Linked DNA regions of Drosophila melanogaster. The gene in region 2 interacts genetically with the main gene of each other region. Each region holds a gene or a part of one and is shown on either strand. Other genes may lie near its edges.

The links.
Region 1: of Ptth (region 2) and trk, changing one suppresses a phenotype caused by changing the other (phenotypic suppression), as found in Drosophila melanogaster (one study listed by BioGRID).
Region 3: of Ptth (region 2) and tsl, changing one enhances a phenotype caused by changing the other (phenotypic enhancement), as found in Drosophila melanogaster (one study listed by BioGRID).

The regions. Positions count from the first base shown.
Region 1 is NT_033779.5:10,269,593-10,274,915, forward strand, and holds trk (trunk), read right to left. Parts: upstream 2,733-5,323; 5' UTR 2,618-2,732; coding exon 1,910-2,617; 3' UTR 1,865-1,909; downstream 1-1,864. Other genes in the region: CG4957 (uncharacterized protein), read left to right, coding at 21-116, 171-281; Mulk (Multi-substrate lipid kinase), read left to right, coding at 523-620, 682-802, 857-1,864; Utx histone demethylase, read right to left, coding at 3,120-3,314, 3,404-3,530, 3,605-3,814, 3,871-4,290, 4,374-4,513, 4,573-5,276.
Region 2 is NT_033779.5:574,500-580,133, forward strand, and holds Ptth (prothoracicotropic hormone), read right to left. Parts: upstream 2,398-5,634; 5' UTR 2,102-2,397; coding exon 2,015-2,101; exon of another isoform or gene 1,906-2,014; coding exon 1,582-1,905; intron 1,524-1,581; coding exon 1,278-1,523; 3' UTR 1,212-1,277; downstream 1-1,211. Other genes in the region: cold (coiled), read left to right, coding at 142-199, 281-591, 645-737; Pph13 (PvuII-PstI homology 13), read left to right, coding at 3,494-3,534, 3,656-3,921, 3,985-4,751.
Region 3 is NT_033777.3:21,776,797-21,785,416, forward strand, and holds tsl (torso-like), read right to left. Parts: upstream 5,741-8,620; 5' UTR 5,688-5,740; exon of another isoform or gene 5,192-5,687; intron 5,110-5,191; exon of another isoform or gene 4,922-5,109; intron 2,988-4,921; 5' UTR 2,966-2,987; coding exon 2,756-2,965; intron 2,408-2,755; coding exon 1,556-2,407; 3' UTR 1,318-1,555; downstream 1-1,317. Other genes in the region: CG6800 (uncharacterized protein), read left to right, coding at 43-193, 246-417; Polr1H (RNA polymerase I subunit H), read right to left, coding at 493-517, 582-801, 853-970.

The DNA.
Region 1 (5,323 bases), 9.7 Mb from region 2:
TTTCCTACATTTACATACAGTTCCTATGCAGTCCAGTGGTTTTAACTAGCTTAAGTAGGAACTTGGAAAAAGCCGGATACACCGTGGAAAACAGTGAACACATATTTTCACCAATGGTAAATCATTCATTTCATTCAATTTCATTTTATCTAAATAGTATTATCTTTCAGAATGTAGTGCAATTATCACCCGAAGAGCAAAAGACCTATGATGTTTTTGTAGAAAAACTGAGAAACCTCCCAGGCTTAGAGGATATCTATGACAATGTGGAACAAAAATGACTTGTTGAATAAAACGTTGAGTTTAAACTTGAATAAATAAATTTGTTTCTAACTGATTAAGATACACTGTTAAGTAACAGAGTGTGCAATTTTCAGTGTTCCCGTTTCAGCGCTAAACGTTTCTGTTATTTTAAAGCTTATGTAAACTGGCTGGAATACCCTTGACGATCTAAAATCCAGCTGTTTGTGTGCGGCCAAACCAATACATGTGGAATCAAAATCATCGGTCGAAATTGAAAATATGAATTATTTAAGAGTAATTCGGAATAATTGGAAGAAATGCACGTTCGGAGCGGCAGTATCTGTGTACGCGCTGCAAGCGCTGAAAACTCACATCGAGTATGCATTCAGAAAACCGTGAAAATTTGACGCAACTTTAACCCCCTTATTTGCTCTCCAGGATTGAACAACATATGCGGGAATTCGCCTCCAACATTCAGGCCAACTGGATATCGGATCGCCCCAAAAAGGTACTGGTGGTCATGAATCCGGTGGCCAACAAGAAGAGATCGGAGAAGTTTGTAAGTAGCTGGCACACAGCTGACTAAGATGATAACCCAGCCATAGATTTTCAGTTTAAGAACTACTGCGAGCCGGTTTTGCATTTAGCTGGATATTCGGTGGAGATCCTTCGGACGAATCACATTGGTCATGCCAAAACCTACGTGGAGGAGTTGGCAACGCTACCCGATGCCATTGTTGTTGCCGGCGGCGACGGCACCTCATCGGAGGTGGTCACTGGGCTGATGCGTAGGCGCGGCAATCTCTGCCCGATCACCATCCTTCCGCTGGGACGTTCGGTGCAGTCCGCATCCAAGCGCATCAACATCTTTGGCGTCAAGGACGTCGACTATGTGAAAAGTCTTTCGAAAGCCCTTGAACCTATGCTCAAGGATGAGAGCCAGTACCAGAGTGTGATCCGCTTTGATGTGATCAATGAAGAAGATGGCAGCAATAGCCAATTGAAGCCCATATTCGGTCTTAATGGTCTGTCCTGGGGTCTGCTGGAGGACATCGATGCGGCAAAGGATAAGTACTGGTACTTTGGACCACTGCGACACTACGCTTCCGCTGCGTCCAAGTCCTTTGCCGATAACTGGAGCCTTAAGACCGACTATGTGTACACACCGCCGTGTCCTGGCTGCGTTGACTGTGCTGCTACTGTGCAGCGCCAGGAGACCGCCCAGCCTTCTGGCCTCTTCACCAGAGGCCTCATTAAGTACAAGAATAATCCGGGTGAAACCAAGAGGCCGCTCGTCAAGAACGACAATTGCAGCAAGAAGTTCGAGGGAAGCGCTGAAGCCAGCCAGATTAACATCAATTGTGTTCAGAACAAGGATAACTTTGCGGAGCTGGAAAGTCAGTTTATAAGCTCCCTGCAGCCGGGCTGGGAGTTTATCAAACAAATTCCGGAAGTCACGTGCAGCAAAATTTTACCCAGCTTGGTGGTTAAGAGCAGGACTATTCAACTGCATCCGGATGGTGAAATGGGCGAGAAGTTTTACTCCATCGATGGCGAGGAGTACGATGCAAGACCCATTAAGGTATCTGTTGTTCCCAATGCTATTAAAGTTTTTTGTTGACATTTTAAACGTGTATATTAATTAAATCTTGATTAAATGGCGCTACTAGTATAGCATAACACATTCACAGCAAAAGTTAACCGCTATTTCTTCCCAAATCCAGAGCTGCGTATAATCATTCTCAAACTTCTCTGCGGTGATCAAAATCAATTTATCGTTTATTCGAATGCATGAGCCAGTTTTACGGCGCAGTACTTTTATTGTAAATGATTTTGGCTTGCAATTAAAGTGATCATACCAACATTTTCTGGCAATACACTCGATCGAACGGATATAGCGTGGAAAGTAATTTAAGCCTAAGTCAATCCAGTTGATCTTCGACGAGCACTCCCACGGCCGCTGCTTGAACCCATCGATTCTCGGATGTCCCACACGATCCATGAAGGCGCTTCTCGTGCGCAGACTCTTGCTCCTCGGTGCCTCCTTCTTCTTCTCTACCAGCGCAAAGTGGTTGGTCTCCCAGGCGGGAAAGTGGCTAACCGAAATCGCATCACTGTCCGCATAGAAGGGCAGCTCGTACGACGATCGCTTGTATCCCAGATGATAGCTCTTCTCCTCGGGCTCGCCCGGCGGATCGATGCTCATGTAGCGCGGATTAAATGCCTGTCCCAGAATTTTGGCCAGCGACTGCGTGGATAGCTCGGCGCAGTAATCGGCATCATCTTGAGCCGTCCCCAGCACTGCCAACCAAGTGAGCACAATGGCCAGTTCACTTTGGGATTTCATAGTTGGACACAGTATACGCAGAAACATGGCTGGCTAAAAACAGGGCTACACCAATATCAACCAATTGATTTATCGTGTTTACAGCAGTTATCGTTGCTCTCTACACTGTAACTTATTTAGGTACTAAAGTAATAACAGCCAATTCAATAAAAAGAAGGATTTTAATTTCAGTGTCATTGCGAAAGATTATAAATTAAATTTATTCATATATATAATTAAAACGCATTCTAAACTTTGGATAAATTTAAAGTTTTTTTTTTTAAATTAAACTATAAAAGATGGGTCTAAATATTTGAAGTCATAATAAAATTGTCATCATAAGGTAAGTTTCGCTACTCAAGTGGGCTCCAGTTTTTTCGACTATCAAACATAATAGCCGAAAAAACTGCTCTGATGGCTTTATTCGAAAAATCCCATCTCTATATATTCGTACCGTTATGTTTTATCAAAACAATAGAGAGTATATTGTACGTTGTAAAATATACATATATTAAATCTGCATTACTTAAAATGATTCCTCGTATTACAACTACTGAGTGTATGCTAGTCCTTGGGTTCTGTGTAAAGTAAACGAATCGTACACGCGCTGCAGCTCAGACAGACGATACTCCTCCAGGCAAACGATTCCCTGGAGCGACGGAGATAGCTTCAGCGCGCACGATAGGCAGTGGACCACATGTCGTTTCTCCTGCTCCTTGATGAACAGCACATTGAAAACCTCAACCTGCAAAGAGTGCACAAATGATTAAATAAACTGCATTCATATCACCTTTGGAAACTGTATAAATATGTTAATAATACTACGCTAAATACCTCGCATTGTCCGCAGTAATGGGATGCTTCGTTCTTTCCGCGTCCATTGAAACGTATTTCCACACCTTTCGATTTGACATACTCTTGTATGTGCAATACGTTTTTCAACGTTTGCAGCAAACACATTCTGAAAATTACAAATTACATATGTATGCCCTATAGTATCTGCATAATGGTGATTCCTATCATTTGCTAACTCACTTTATCAGCTCGAAAAGTTTGGTATCAGACACTTTAATATTCCTTGCAAGATTCCAGCTTAAATGCACCATCGGCACAATGCTCTTGAAGGCCTGCACTTTATTCCACTCATATCGCTCGATGGCAAGAGAATACTGACGGGCAGTCAAGGGTCCAACATTCCACGCAATGTTGTTGCACCAACCGATCGACTGAACCCAATGGACGCATCTGAAAGTAGGTTTGATTGTTAATACATCATCCTTCCTTTCATATTCAGTGCTTACCCGGCATTCACCCAAACCAAGTCACCGGGCTTTTGTATAAATCTATAAACTGGTATATTCTCCTTGTATAAATCCTCCAGGACGGGCCACCACGAGCCGTGCAGATAGCTAATGTTGTTCTTCTCGCAAAGATTGTGAACTCCGCCCCAGTAGGCGTCAGGGACGGCAAACCATTCACAGTCGCCAGGACCGATGTTGATGTTGATTGAGCAGAAGTTGTTGTTCTCTTGGTGGCCAGGCGTCCTACTTCCGGGCACCTTCATGTACAGCTGAACGGTGTTCATGCCCAAAATGACGTGGCCCACGTGTGATAGCATATTGGCAGCGGATATAACTCGCGCAAAAGCTGGCAGTTTTTGTAGCTCTGTTAATTGTGGTTTCCATTTCTTTTCATCGGAGAGGTCCACGTTGGTCCCGAACCTAAAAAAAAAAGCGAAATAAGCATTTAATTTATGTTCATAAAGTTCGTAATGCAGACATAAATGGTTTGGAGTTTCTATTACCTCAACATTTTGCTGTTTATTTTGTGTTTTTTACGTTTGAGAACAATGTTCGAATTGGATACCGAGTCCTTTGAGTCTGAATCCGACATTGCTTGCGAGCCGGGGAAACCTTTATCGCTTTCATCCTGCGGTAAAATAAGCTACACGATAAAGTAAACTTGTATTCATGTTAAAGAGGAACCAACCCAACGAACATTACCTTCAAGCTGTCTTGAAAACTGGATGCCTGATATTGGGCATATTTGGCTATGGTTGTGTGAGACCGATGGGAAATGCAGGCCCAGACGCGCTTACCCTGCGAAGTGTCCCAATTTTCATCGGGAGACTGGTGCACTTGTGTCCGAACCTCAACACTATGGTCCGGGTTGGCTTCCACCAACGTTTTGGTCGAAAAGAGACCGAGATCTAGCTTCAAGACGCCCGCTAAGCCGCGTACAACGGCAATCGGATGTTTCAGGCAAAACTCCTGCAACTGTGGGCTGAACGCGTGCTTCTTATTTTCTAAATGAACAGAGGGTGTGGGAGGCAGGAGTTGATCTCGCGTCAGTTTCTGCGGTGGGCAATCGGGCGGAGATGGCGGCGGCGCATTCACTTGCAAAATGGTACAGTGCACGGGCGGTTCATCAATCGGCAGCAGCTTCACAGCTACCATCAACTGCTTCGAGTCCATTTGTATTTTGAACGTGGTCGAGATGTCGGCGTTGTCACCGCCAATAAAATCATGCCTCGAGTCCTCATTGTTACTCAGTGCATCCTGGCTCAAACGTTCGAGCTTGATGCTCTCATTCTGTTTATAAATATCATTCGAGATGTCGTCGAAGGTGTCAAGAACACTTTGCTCCGAACTTTTGTTGCTCTCCGGCATGGCGTTGAAGTTGCGCTGGTTTAAAGATTCCGAAATGTCTGTTTGGAGTGTTAAAAAGTGATTTAATACTTTAAGATATATACTA
Region 2 (5,634 bases):
CCTTGAAGTTGGTGTTGCAGAACGCGCGTTCTTCTAATTTGTTGCTAATGTTTTTTTGGGAGTGGTTTTGTTTGTTAATTTGACTTGTTTATTTACTTTGAGCTTATCGGCTCCGATTGCGTTAATTACTCCAGATATACGATGAAATCGTGGGAGATAGCTGTGGTGCTAGTCGCCGCTGTTTACTTGTGTTCGCAAGGTAAGTTTCATTTTTGAAGCCCGACTTTGGGCCACACCTTTAAAATATTTAGAACCTCTCGAATAAATAACATATTTTTAGTAAATTTCGTGGCCGGTCTGGAGTGCTATGTCTGCTCCAACCAGACGGGCAACACGGAGAAGTGCCTGAACACCATCAAGACCTGCGAGCCCTTTGAAAACGTCTGCGGAACGGAGATCCGCTGGGGATCCCAGCCGTACTTCTCGGAGGGTGCTCTTAAGCAATACTACGTGTCCAAGAGGTGCATGACCAAGGAGCAGTGCCAGTCCAAGAGGAAGCGCTATATGCAGCTGTACTGCACCCACATCTGGTACGAGGATTGGGCGTGCAACGAGTGCTGCAAGGGAGATCGGTGCAACTACTTTGTCATTGTGGGTAGATAGTACATTTAACTGGGACTACCAACTAATCGGAATTGTTACAGAGTGGCGCTCCTTCAAGACAAGGCTATGGTGTCTGTTTAACCCTGCTCACCGCACTATTAGGACTTGGATCTTGGCTCATTCCACGCTCTTAGCCTCAAGAGCCTTTGCTATACCAAGCACATTTCGCTTTTTGTATTATTTAAACGAAGCCGTCCATAAGCTAAGTAGATTCCACACTCCATTTAAAACTACACCGTCAAAGTGCCTTGACTCAGTTGGGAAGTAATGCCATTTACTATCCTGATGCCTTGCGAAGCGAAGTTTCTTTTCTAATACTTTACATTTTATTTGTAACAAAATTGTTTCTCTGGATTCAAGTTTTTTAGATTTTTTACGTTTATGGGACAGTTTTTATACTCGTGCATCAATGACAACAAGAGCTATTTTGATTATTGCTTTATTTCGAATTTTGCTGATGAATACGAATTGCATCCACGACATATCCTAGACAAATTATCTAAGAGAAAGCTCAAACATGAACATTAAGCTACATATAAGAATCAAAAGAATGCCTTAAAAATAACAATCTGTTTCATATCGAATCTCTCCCACAATAAAGCAACTTTGACGTCTTTTTGGCGCTTTAATATACAATTAATTCACATTCACGATAGTTGCTCACATCCTTTCAATCACTTTGTGCAGAAGCAGCCGGCAGTTACGGTGACCGTTTTGAACTGCCAAGGTTGATCCTTGTTCATCCACGAATAGGGGTGATCGGACTGAGAGGTCTGTGCCAGGACCTTTACCTTATATTCCAGTGGCCTGCAATTGGATCCATGCGAGCACTTGGCCAGATCCCGACCAGCGCCCGATTCGCAAACGGCATTCATCAGAAAGCGAGGGAAGTGCAGACCACCCAGATCCACGAGCTCATTCTGGGAATAACAAAATAATTATAAACATCTGACGCGGCTGAATGGTATCCCAACGAACCGTAACTTTGCAGTCGCAGCCTGCGGAATGGACATCATTGCGTTTGGTGGTCACCAGATCCTCATAGAAATCGTTATAGTACATGGGCGGCAGCTGATGGGGCATGACCATCGCCATCTCTGTGGGATGTGGAGTGCTGGGACTGAATCCGAATAGGGCACTGAGCATTTTCGATGTACTGCGATCGGGCTGCTGCTCCTCCGCGCGGTGTTCCAGACTCCTTAGACCCACCATCTCGTCCAAACCTTCATCGCTGGCGTACTGACTGGCGATTCCTTTATTTGTCAGGCTAAGCAGCGCCATTGCCATAATGGAAATGGGCAACTTGGAACGGAAGGGTTTTAAAATGAATTCAGTTCGGAGTATATCCTTGTGCGCCCTCCTTTGTAATTTCGTTTCTATATCTTTCGGCTCTCATCCAGATGAAACTTACCCACGGCATCATGCTCGATCTGTGCCTGACCAGCGCTGTACTCCTTCTGCAGCTCTGGCCAAGGAGTCGCCATACTTTTATATCCATTTAGGACAAAAGCCGCCTCTCGGATTACCTTTTGTGCCAGAGATGAGAGCAGCAGCATCCATTACGGTTCGTCACCTGGACAGGATGGAACAATGGACTCCACAGTTGACACCACAACAATGGCAAGCCATGCCAAGCTCAAGTGGCCCGGCTGATGGGGTTGAGTCCCTCGGCTATTTATACTCCTCTGCTGCTTTCAATGCTTCAATGGGGGAAATGGCTTTAAGGCCTCAAGTGCCGGCAGAGGTGGAGAACTTTGGGCGGTGGGAGTAGCCAAAAGAAGCCCACTGACCCAGACATGTGTGCAGAGGCAAAGGGCAATCCGATCTCCTCCCATCGATAACGTTGACCAGGGTGGGTTTCTGGATTTTTGGTTTCCGAAACGGCTCCGAAACTTTTTCCATAGCATACTTTTGAGTGAGGAGCTGTGGGAAATGCAATTCCGATTGTATTTTACTTGTCGGATTTCCCCCAAATGGATGACATTTCCGTTTCATGGTCTTGTTTAAAGAATATTGTTTTTATAATGTGCAAAGGCAGATGAATGGTAAAAATAGTGGTTTATAGTCTTATGTAGAATTCTTAAACATTTTCCAGCTATGCACATCCTCCGAAGGCACCATGAGTTGCCATAAATTATGAGCTCACTATGTCTCCCACTTGGGCCAGTTTGGGTGAGGAGCACCGCCACTGGCATAACAAGCCCGGCTAGAACGACTGTCCAAGAGGCTAGACCGGGTCAGACCTCTTAGGCACATAGTATATACCCCTGTTCGTAGGGAGCCCGCGAGTGTGCGAGTGCCAGTGGACTGTGGTCGACTTCTACGGCTTCTGTCGACGGACAGCACGCACTGTCACTGTTCCCCGTGGAAATCCAAAATCCTCCTCAGTCGAATTCGCGTCGTCGAGGCAAGAACAGTGCCCGTGCCACAAGGTTGGACATGCACAGCTGGACAATCTGACATCGCTTAGCCATCAGCAGCTACATAGGTTCGAGCAAGGGAAGTCGGGACTTGGAATCGGAATCAGAATAAAAAACCAGGAGCGGAGGAGATGCAGATTCCGCTGGTGGGCGACTTATGCTGAGCTCCGCAGCTGCCTGTCTCCAAAGACTTCATCCGTGCTTTCGCCGTTGTTGTTGTGCAGTTTTTCCGCCGTGGAATTTGTCGAAGCGGAAAAGCGAGAAGAAGCAGCGACGCGAAGCCCTCGAAGTGTCGACGAAAATCGTTAAAAAATAGAAAAACACACGGCGACTATGTCACGACGCGCTTGAAGAGCCCCATCCTCGCTGAGGGAGATATTGAGATTGAGCGGGATCCACACCTCAGTGGCCACTACTCGCCACCCACTCCGCCAACGTCAACGTTCACCAACAGGAAGCTCAGGATTCGCATGGACAAAGGCACAATGAAGCGCAAGCAGCGGAGATACAGGTATAGCAGATACATTCGAAATGTACATATATCGCGGTATAAATCCAAAAACTGGACTAGTTTCATAAGTATCTACTAAAGCTATAGGTGCACTAACACTAGTTTTCCTAATGATCCGCAGAACCACATTTAACACACTGCAACTGCAGGAGCTGGAAAGGGCGTTCCAGCGGACACACTATCCGGACGTGTTTTTCCGAGAGGAGCTGGCCGTGAGGATCGATTTGACGGAGGCGAGGGTGCAGGTGTGGTTCCAGAACCGGCGGGCCAAGTGGCGCAAGCAGGAGAAGATCGGTGGGCTTGGCGGAGATTATAAGGAGGGTGCGTTGGATCTCGACGTGTCCTACGACGACAGCGCCGTCCTGGGCCAACTGGATAGTGCGCTGGGTAAGAAAGGATATCTCTGTTACCTATCAACCCATCGCTAGTAATGACCCATATTGATTTCAGGCGGCGGTGGAACTCTATTGCCGGACACCCCACCGCAATCCTCGAACTCCCTTGATAACGAACTTAAGGCCTCCTACGGCACGGGGGCCATGTCGCCCTCTAGGCTGTCACCGAATATATTTCTCAACCTCAACATTGACCACTTGGGACTGGAGCGGGGTGGCAGTGGCCTCTCCATGGAGTGGTCCACATATCCTCCGCAAACGCAAGCGCAGACACACCCGCAGATGGACTCCGACAATCAGCTCCAGCAGCACCCGCCTCAACAGCATGCATCCGATCCGATTCACGCCGGGAGTTCGAGTCATCACCAGCAGCAGCAGCAGCAGCACCAGCAGGAGCAGCACAATCCCCAGCTTCATCCGGGGCTTGAGTTTGCCGCCTCATTGAGTTTGGACATGACCGATGGCTCCTCCGCCTACGACGAGATGAAGTTTCTCAGCGTGGACGTGGACCAGTTCACGATCGACAGCTTCAAGGCGGACTGCATTCTGAGCATGGAGCAGTCCCAGATGCAGGCCTACGGCGGTCACTCCCAGCTGGTCGGATCATCCAATGAACTGTGCCTGGACGGGATTGGCATGTCCTCCTTTGGCATGGAAGAGGGTGAGCCCAAGTCGCCTCCCTCTCTTTTGGTGCTGGACAAGTCGCTGCCCTCTTTGAGCATAGGCGTGGAAGGAATCGCTGATCTCGTGGAGCAACTGCATCATCACCAGCATGAGGGCGGCCCAGTGGGCGGTGGTGTCATCACTGGCGATGTCATGTGAATCCAACTTAGGCGAATTCTCAGTTTCTCAGCGGTAAACTGAAGTGCGAAACCTGCTCTAGTTATATTCTTGTTTTCTAGTCAATGTTAATGTCTAAGTTCAAGACCCAACAAGGTCGCCACACTTGACTACAAATATTTGGATGGTTAACTTACAAAAATTTTAGTACTAAATACTAGTTTATCTGAAGTTGTATTACTTTAGTCCTGGAAATGTGTCTTGATAAATAGCAAAGTGGTTTACATAAAGAGAACCTGTAAGTTTATAACATTTGAAAACAACGAGAATTGTTGAAAAAGAATATTTTTCGTAGTGTACATTTGTGAATTTCGAAACATTCGAATCGAATCGAAACGAAACGGAACGGAACGGGTCCTTGACTACGAGCACGGGTACCTTTTCTGGCCAGGCTCAGCCATAGCTTCTATGGATTCCGCATGTGTGTGCCAAACAAAGGAACCCCCCCCCCCTACGCCCCTGCCACGTCCCCTACCCTCTGCACACGCCTTATTTGTGGCTCGGATTAGAGGCAAGCTAGTTGTGCGATTTGAATGGATTTCGGCTTCCAGTGCTGTTTGTTCGGCAATAACATTTGCTTTGCTTTTTAACAATTACCAAAGACCGCTCCACGCTCCTCCCTGACCTGCCCACTGGTTGGCTGTAATTTCCATTTACTCCTATTAACGAGGATTTCTGTAGCTCCTGATCCTAAGCATCCTCAACGAACAACTCCTACGCTCCATTAAGTGAAAAGCTCACAGCAGAGATGATAAATATGGTGAAATTTAATGAAATTGTCAGTTAGTTCTAAAGTACTACAATAGATATGCTATTCTCATTACACGGCGAGATCCAGATCACATGAGGGCATCTCGCTTGATTA
Region 3 (8,620 bases), on a different chromosome or scaffold from region 2:
GGGTTTACATATATCCTTATGGCTGACATTATTGCTATCCAGGTTGTGTTGTGGCGGAGATGCTACGCGGAGTGCCCCTGTTTGCGGGAACCACCGACATCGAGCAATTAGCCATCATCATTCGCACTCTGGGCAGCCCACGTCTGAATCAGTGGCCAGAGCTGACTTCTCTGCCGGATTACAGCAAGATACGGTAGGCATTCTTACCGTCTATGATTACTTAATCCGTAATATTCTTGACGTAGGTTTCCCAACTCCGTGGGCATTCACTGGGACAACTTGTTTCCCAGCTGCACACATGCGGTGGAAATCAATCTGGTCTCGAATCTGGTGGTCTACAATCCCAAAAACCGACTCAAGGCCAGCGAGGTGGGTTCTGCTTCAAGTTTGACACCGGTTAGGTATTATAATTGGTAAATTCTATATTTCTCAGGCCGTCGAGCATGATTATTTTCATTAATCTAGGACTATTTACACGGACATTGCTAGCAACTAAGAGTTTTCGGATTCTTTGAATCTGCAAGGTAGAATGTGTGTGATTAGTTGTGGAAGTGAAGGAATATGTTTATCAGGACACCTACTTGCACTTAAGGCAGGTAAAGAACACCGTCTGGCCTTCGTCCGCCGATCGAAGCTGCAGGGTGGCATAGGACATCTTGTCGTGGTTGCACTTGGGACACTTCCTCTCCACAACGGGGCCATCCGCGTCCGATTCCGACTCCCTTTTCGTCCTGTTGAACACCTTGCTGGGATCGTAGGTGTTGAAGTGTATGGTAAACTCGGACTTCTCGCCGCTGTAAACTATTTTTAAGTGTTAAATAAATTAAACAAAGTTGTAATTTCTGGATTTACCATCTGGCTGAAACTCCTTCTTGCAGTTGTAGCAAATCACATTGCCCTTGACTTGAAGCTCGGGCAGAATGGAGCCGCAGGAGGGGCAAAAGCCCGGACAATTGGAAAAAATATCCATGCCAGTATATATCACCCAAAATCAAAATCAAAATACAAAAACCGCACGTGCTATTTCGGATTTCAGTATGAGCGTAACTGAACCGTTTGAAATATACCACACGGTATTAAAAATATACTTGATTCATATACTAAATACGTAAGGGTGGAAAACTAGAATAAGTCTGGTTGAAAGCCTTGATGAAACGGGTAGAGCCGTTTACCCGTTTCGATTACCGGTTCTTAATCAAAATCAATTATTCAAAATAAACTTTCAAAATAGTATTTGATATTCATAGCCAATATTACGTAATGAAAACAGTTAGATTTTAATAGCCAATATCAAGTTATGAAAACAGTAAGATTTTTACTTTTATCTTTACTTTGTATTAAAGTTTACAAAACTATTACATCAATAAGGCGATCTTACGGTCTAGTTAGCTGAAATGCAAGTCGGATGTGTACTGTGTTCCAATTAAACTACCTAAAACTATCACAGGCAGAACATTAACTACGCACTAGAGGTTCCTAACTACAACTAAGCATCTAGGAACTATTGATCCTTGGCTGCCACATATCGCACAGTATATATATATTTAAAATGCAGCTATCGGGTGGGATGACTCTGCGGCATGTTAAGCTCCCAGAGCTTCACATTGTTGTCGAGAACCTCGTGGTACCAGCTCTCCTTTTCCGGCTCCTCCCGGAAGATGGGCTTCAGCGACTTGAGGTCCAACTGCAGTATGGCATCGTTGCCGAGCAGCGAGTCCAGGGATCGCAGTAGAGTACTATTACCGTGCAGTTTCAGCAGGGTCACATACTTGACCACATAGTACTCGTACTGCAGCTTCCTTCTCGCCCATCTTTCCACTGTAGCATTGGCACTAGCCGATCGAATCTGGCCCAGATGGGCGGCAAACCAGGGCGCAAAGTAGTTGTAAAGATCCAACTTGGACAGTCCGTTCAGACCTTTACTCTTGATTCGCTCCTTGATCATGCTGTAGTTCTTCCTGCTGTACACAAACACCTGATACAGCGAATTGCCGGTGGTGTATGAGTTTACGTAGTGGGTGCCCACATCTTCCATAAATCGCACTGCGGAAGTTATATTTCCGATTTGCAGTTGATCCATTCTCGATCGCACATCCGGCTCCAAGGGTTGGTGCACCGGAATCTCAGCGTTAAGACGCCCCGTTTCCCTGAAGCGCACCACCCTCACCAAAACATACGAGTAATCGCCTTGGATGAAAGATGTATTGATGCCCAGCTTCTTGGCCGCATTATCCGGAAACCATCCGCCAGTAAATGCCTCCCACGGTTTGTCCATTCGCTCAATGGAAAAGTCACGGAAGTAGGCCTGGAACAGTTGCCTCCGATTCTCGCAGAACTCCATGTGAAAGTCTCCATGAAAGATTCCGGGCGTGGTGTCTTCATGACTCTCCGCCAGGCCACTCAGATTCTGAAAGAAAAAAATCATTAATTATCTAATTGTCTAGTCAGCTCAATTATCAGGTAATAAATATCAAGTGACATACTTGAATAATCGTATATAATGATCGTTTTCCTAAATCTGATCAAACAAATATAATAAGCGCTCATTCTAACGACAAACGTGGCGGAAGTGAACAATATAATTACAACTAAAAATAGTTTTAAGTGATAACAACTTTAAACCCTATTTTAAAATTTTGATTATACTCCAAATAATTATGGTGATTGTGGTTAAAGGTTAATACAAACAATTCCGAGTTCATCAACGCCATTTAATTTATTAAATGTAAGCTTAACTCTGCCTTAAGTCCCTTACCCTATAGATGTTTTTGGTGGGCTCCTTAAACACCCAGCGATCCGGCTCCGAGTTGTCATTGAGCGGTATCACACGCATGGAGATTCCCAGGTAGCCATAGCGCAGGAATATATTGATGGCCTTGCCGATCCGGAGCTGGGACTCGCGACGACCTCCATCCGCCAGGAGCGCCAGGGTCAGCAGCCAGAAAAGGCCAGGCCACGACCGCATCGCTCAGCATTCAAGGTTAGATCTATAGAGGATTATAATAGAAATATTATATTGCAAATTTAAAGCGATTACACTTGAATTAGGCAAACGTTTCCATATTCCATATCCATATAATCCCTTGCTATAAAATATTATTGATTGAAACAAACGCAACCTATTCCGATCTCTTATAAAATTCGCAATTTAACAATAATGAGGCATATCTATCCCACAATAATTTATTCAAGTGACTAGATAACTCTTGATTGCAATGTGCATATTGATGACAAGCAAGTACAAACAGCGCTATACCATCCGAACTCATTACTCACTTAGACTAAAACCGGAAAGTTTTACAGCAAGCTACTTCGGTGGTTTGTTTATATTTTATAGCCAGTGCAGTAGTTGCGATACAGTGGGGTTAACTAAACAGCAATAATTGCAGGGCCGCCGTGTTTGTTTTCCACTCCATAAACGGGCGATAATATAAGCGCGCTCTAATTGGCCATGAACCTTCAGTGGCGCTGAACTTGAACCGACCAAGTCGACTTGGGTAGAGGCCACCAGCTGGTGGTGATGATGAGCTGGAGCTCTGCGTAGCTCCACTCTGATCACCTTAAGTGGATGCAATTAGCCGCAGGCTCTGTGGCCGTAAAAGCAGCTACAAAGTATAGCCATCAAAATTGGTTCGGCTGTCGCTTTGACTTGCAAATTATTTCCTAAAAACATTTTGCATGCCTCGTAACCGTTTTCCTATAGTTGGCCCACTACACTTCAGAGGACCGGTTATGCCGTTTTTGTTTTTTTTTTTTTTTTTTTCTGTCCAAGCATTATGGCCGGCAAGGAAGCCAAACAAATTGGCCCAAGCCAGACATATACACACATTCTAACAGCTTGGCGAGGCAGCTTTTAATTCGAGCCGTTATCACAGAACGAGCGACGTGTTTGATGGGCCAAAAACACAGAGGTTAGCCGGGTGTTAGCCACGTTTGTGAGTCACACCTGTCGACCCGACGCACTGAAGCGCAGCACCAGACAAAAAAAAAACACAAACGCAGCCATGATGAGACTCAAATGTTAACCATTTACGTGAACCATAAAATGTAGGCGTCGCTAAACTTGTCCAGCAGCAAAAACTAAACAAAAAACAGCAGGAAGAGTGACTGAATGAAACTAGCCGTGAATGGAACAAAGAAAAAGAGACATTTGACTACTGCATCTTGTCTATACTTGCCTATAGTACATATATTACTGCCCATGGGCGCGATTCCAGGAAATATTTGTTTGCACATTTTATAAACACATGAATATTTGCTAAATGCTGCAATCAGCTGTCTTGACCTTACAGATGAACCTCACAGATTGCAATCACTCTACGGATTTAAACATTCTGACTCGGCATAGAATACGATTTCGAAGGCTTCCAACTTCTGGCAAACAACTAATGCCCAAATGAGCTTAGTTCTCCATCGCGAGACCCAGAAAATCAAACTGTCGCACAATTGCCAAACTTGAGGTTCAAAATTTGAGATCCGCTTGAAAGGCATGTGTTATGTGACTTAATGATAGTTAGTTTTGTCGGTGGGGGTATTGACAATAGCGGACGCATAACCTTGTGCAAAAGACCCCAAAAAAAAAAAGAAGCCGCGAACCGGAGTTCGAGATGAAGAAGACGAATTAAATCAAAAATTCAATGCGCGCACTCGGACTCCAAAGCAAAGGCAACTAAAAATCAACTCGTTCAACTGTGACTCCCTGTGCACTGGGAGAAAAGAGTGTGGCTATCTAGGACTAGAACTGAATAAGAGAAGAATCAGTCAGCTCTTAACTCCTCTTTTGAGCTATTTGGAATCTTATTCCAATTGTTTATGCTTTTATCAGATTTAAATCGTTATTAGATTTGTTATTTGGCCTATATTTATCCAATAAGATTTTATAATGTGTATTTTTCTTGGACATCCTAAAAAACCTGCATACATTTCTCTCAGTGCTTCCCACCGTGGTTGTCCGCGGCCCAGTCAATTGGAGATTCTTTATGCGCATTTCATGAGCTCTTTTGTGGTAGTAGTCTGGAGTAAACCCCGGGCGAAGGGCACAGACGTGGGGCATAAGGTCTGCAGTTTATATCGCGCTTAATTTTATGCTTGGTCCGTGTGCGTTGTTTCCTTGAGCGGTGTTAAACAAAAGTTGTCTTGACTGCTGCTGAGGTGCTGCTGCTTTTGCCACTTTTGTGGTAGTATTATTTACCTGCACGAGAACTCGAACGCGAATCGAAATTGACGTAACCATCGGCCAGAAGCGGCTTGTTTTATTTTCGGCAGAAGCTTGAAGCTCCGGCTAATTCTATATGCCAGTCGACACAAATCCGCAGGTCTAGAGTTGTGGCTCGCCACTGGTTAGCCTTATCGCTCTGATACCGGGGGCCATTGCACAAGGCTGGTTGGCTGGCTTTATGGCTGGCATTAGCATCGTTAAGACTCCGATTTTTAACGCTTTGTGGGTCAGAGGTCGGCGGCTTGGTTGGCGCCCTCAAGTGATAAGACGGATCTATGAATAGATCGCTGTGGTTCGAATTACATGCGTTTGCGCAGATTTCAACAACCAACAACGTACACACACACACACACAGGCAGTCGTCAAGTACCCTGAACGGCAAACACTAAAACAGACTTAAAACACACTAAAACGAGCGACGACGTGCCTTCAATTGCAATTATAAGCCGGAATTTGCGGCAGCACTTACACTCAAAACGCGAGCAGCACACCTTCAAGCGCGAAGACTCAAAACCTAACTGAAACTGGCTACCAAAAACTCGATCGCCGGAGAGAACAAGCCGATCCGTTCAAGCAGCTACAGCAGCAGCAACAATATATGTTGCGCTACGACAGCAACATGTTGCTGCTGTGCGTCGTGTCGTCTGATCCAACCGAGCAACTGGCAGCAGTTGCAGTTCAATGACTGGCAGCCAGCAGAAGTTCTACTCCTCCAACGGTAGTGGCTATGGCTAATGCTAATGGCCTGGCACAAATATCTATTGTTGACATCTGCCGTTTGGGGGGACAGCTTTTCCGCTTATTAATATTTCCGAGCACGTCGTTCAACTTCCAGTTTTCTTCAATGGCGCGGGGAGTCGGAGGGCTGCCGAATCGAGGCAGATTGAAATGATTGCAGTTTACCCGGGCCAGACTTGCGCAAGATTCCCATAGAACTGGGCGGCCAGTAATCAAAAACTTTTGGTACTACTTGTGCAAAAAAAAAACTAATAATGAGACCAAAAGTAAGCCGAAAAATAAAAACGAAAACGAAAGTATCAAATTCGCATTACCTTGAAAACATGCTAACAAATTTGGGTCAACTCAAAGTGTTGGGCGACAACGTTTGAAGTTCGAGTGTAATGTTTCAATTAGAAGCTCAAGATACAAATGTATCTGTATCTGTATCTGTTGCTCAAAGAGCCATGGCTGCAGGGCATCCGCTTTGTCGCATTTGCCTTGACTTCCAATGGCCATTGGGAATTTCTGCAAAATTCGCTGCTGGCTTCTAAGAAATGAAAAGGTTCTGATTTGAAGTCTTTTTTTGCTGCTGATATGGGGGGGGGTCTTTCTTTTGGAAGAGGCGTTGGGGGAAGGGCTTCCGAAAAGTATTGCAAAAGCTGGTTGAAATTGTATCTCTCGTATATTTTTCTCTTTTCATATATAGAAGTTCATTTTATTACTTTTGTTTCGGTTTCTGTGTGGGTTTTGCTTTGTCTTTGCAGCATGCATGATTCAAAACTTATGTATTTAAAATTCGGTATTTCAGTGTTTACTCGTTTTTATTTAATTCTCATTCCAGTTTCTTCGGTTCTTTTTCATTTAATTTATTATTATTAATCCCATGTTTAAACTATGTATATATAATGACATTTTTATCATTTATTTTAAATGATATTTACTAACACCGCGGCCTTCTGCGCCCCAAACGATCGATCGATCTGCCGATCCATTCATTTCACTTCATTTATTATTATAATAACAATTCACTCAATTAGCTCAAATCGCGTCAATCTACACATATTGACATTGGAGATCATAAGCATTTTCAACTCATCTTTACCATCGTTACCCTCGGTATCATATCATCATCATAATGATCATTGACTTATGAAATTAGAGAAAAATTCTAATTCATTTGGTTTACGCGACCGTGTTCATCTCACTTCTGCGTCTTCCTTTTCTTTTTTTTTTATGTAATATCAACAATAAATTTTTACTTAATCTTAGTGTGAAATTATTCTTAGAGTACAGCTACAATCTGCTCGCATCGGCTAAGAAAAAAGGATCAAGTAAAAGTACGAAACGAATCATTCGAAATCCTAGCTCAATCTCAGGATACTCTCTGTCGGTATCGTTTTCTTTTTTTACCCCCCATTTCCAATTCATTTCAATCGTTCCTAATCATTGTAATACCGTAAAATATAAGATTTTGATTTGAGCATTCTTTTCCTAATCATTTCATCGATTTTTGGTGTTTTCTGGCACACTTAGCCTGGTTGGGGGAGCTTCAAAATGTACATACATCTATCTCAAGCCGTGTCATCTATAAGGTTCCTCCTCCTATCTGATCTCATCTCATCTCATCTCGTCTCGTCCGTTCGTTCAATCTATCGTTCGCTTTAAGGTATAATACTTAGTTAATTTGGCCACTTGGCTGCATTTGTGGTTGTGGGTAGGTAGTTAGTTCTTCAGTTTTTCGGGTAGGTTCGGTTGTTCTTCTTTTTTGGGATACTTCTATGATTTGCATTGCCTCTCCTTAACTTCATCGCTGCTATCTTCATCTCATCTTCATCCACGCTCAGAACCGAAAAGTTATAGCCCAGCGTCTAACGATAATACTCTATGCAAAATTGTTCAACCATTTTGAAACCATAGAATTGTTCTGGATATAAGTATGTTCTTCAACTTGTGTGGTGTGCGGTTGGGAAATTCAAGTGGGTCGTGTGGTTGGGCTCGAATATAAGCTCAGGCTTAAATTGTTTTGAGGGACAGCTAGAGAATTGTGTGGCACGTGTATACAAATGTGTGTTGGTTAACTACTAAGTTCGATCTCCAGTGTTTGTGACATATCTTCGATCCGATCCTAACCCAAAGTAACTACGTGTTCTTGGGACTCATCAACTACATGTAGTATGTGATTGCTTGTGAACTTCGTAGACGTAGTCTAAATTCTGTTTCTGTTTCGTCCATCTCAGAAGCTCTATGTTAGGGAAGCTAATTCAAAATTACCAATTTTCTTTCGAAACTGAATATCTCCCATGTGGGGGCTACAGTGAGGGAAAAAGCGGAAATACTGAGCGCTGGTTGCTGATCATGAAGCTGCACTAAAAAAAATGCCAGGTTTCTTCATTGCTAAGACAGTTTGTCGGTGTCATTGTAAAGTATCTCGAAAATTTGAAGCTGCTGCTTGCTTGGGTGGTTACTGGGCCAGTGGGTTTACGATTAATTCAATTCAATTCAATTCAATGCAAAGCGACTTAGGATCTTATTCGATTCGATTCGGTTTTGGGTCTCCTTGTTGAGTTCTCGTTTTTGGCTGTGGGTTAAAAGGAAGCGCTCCGCTATATTATTCTTATTGAACTTGACTGATTTTCAATGTATCCAACCTGAGTTTGAGTTGTTCGAAAAATATATATATGT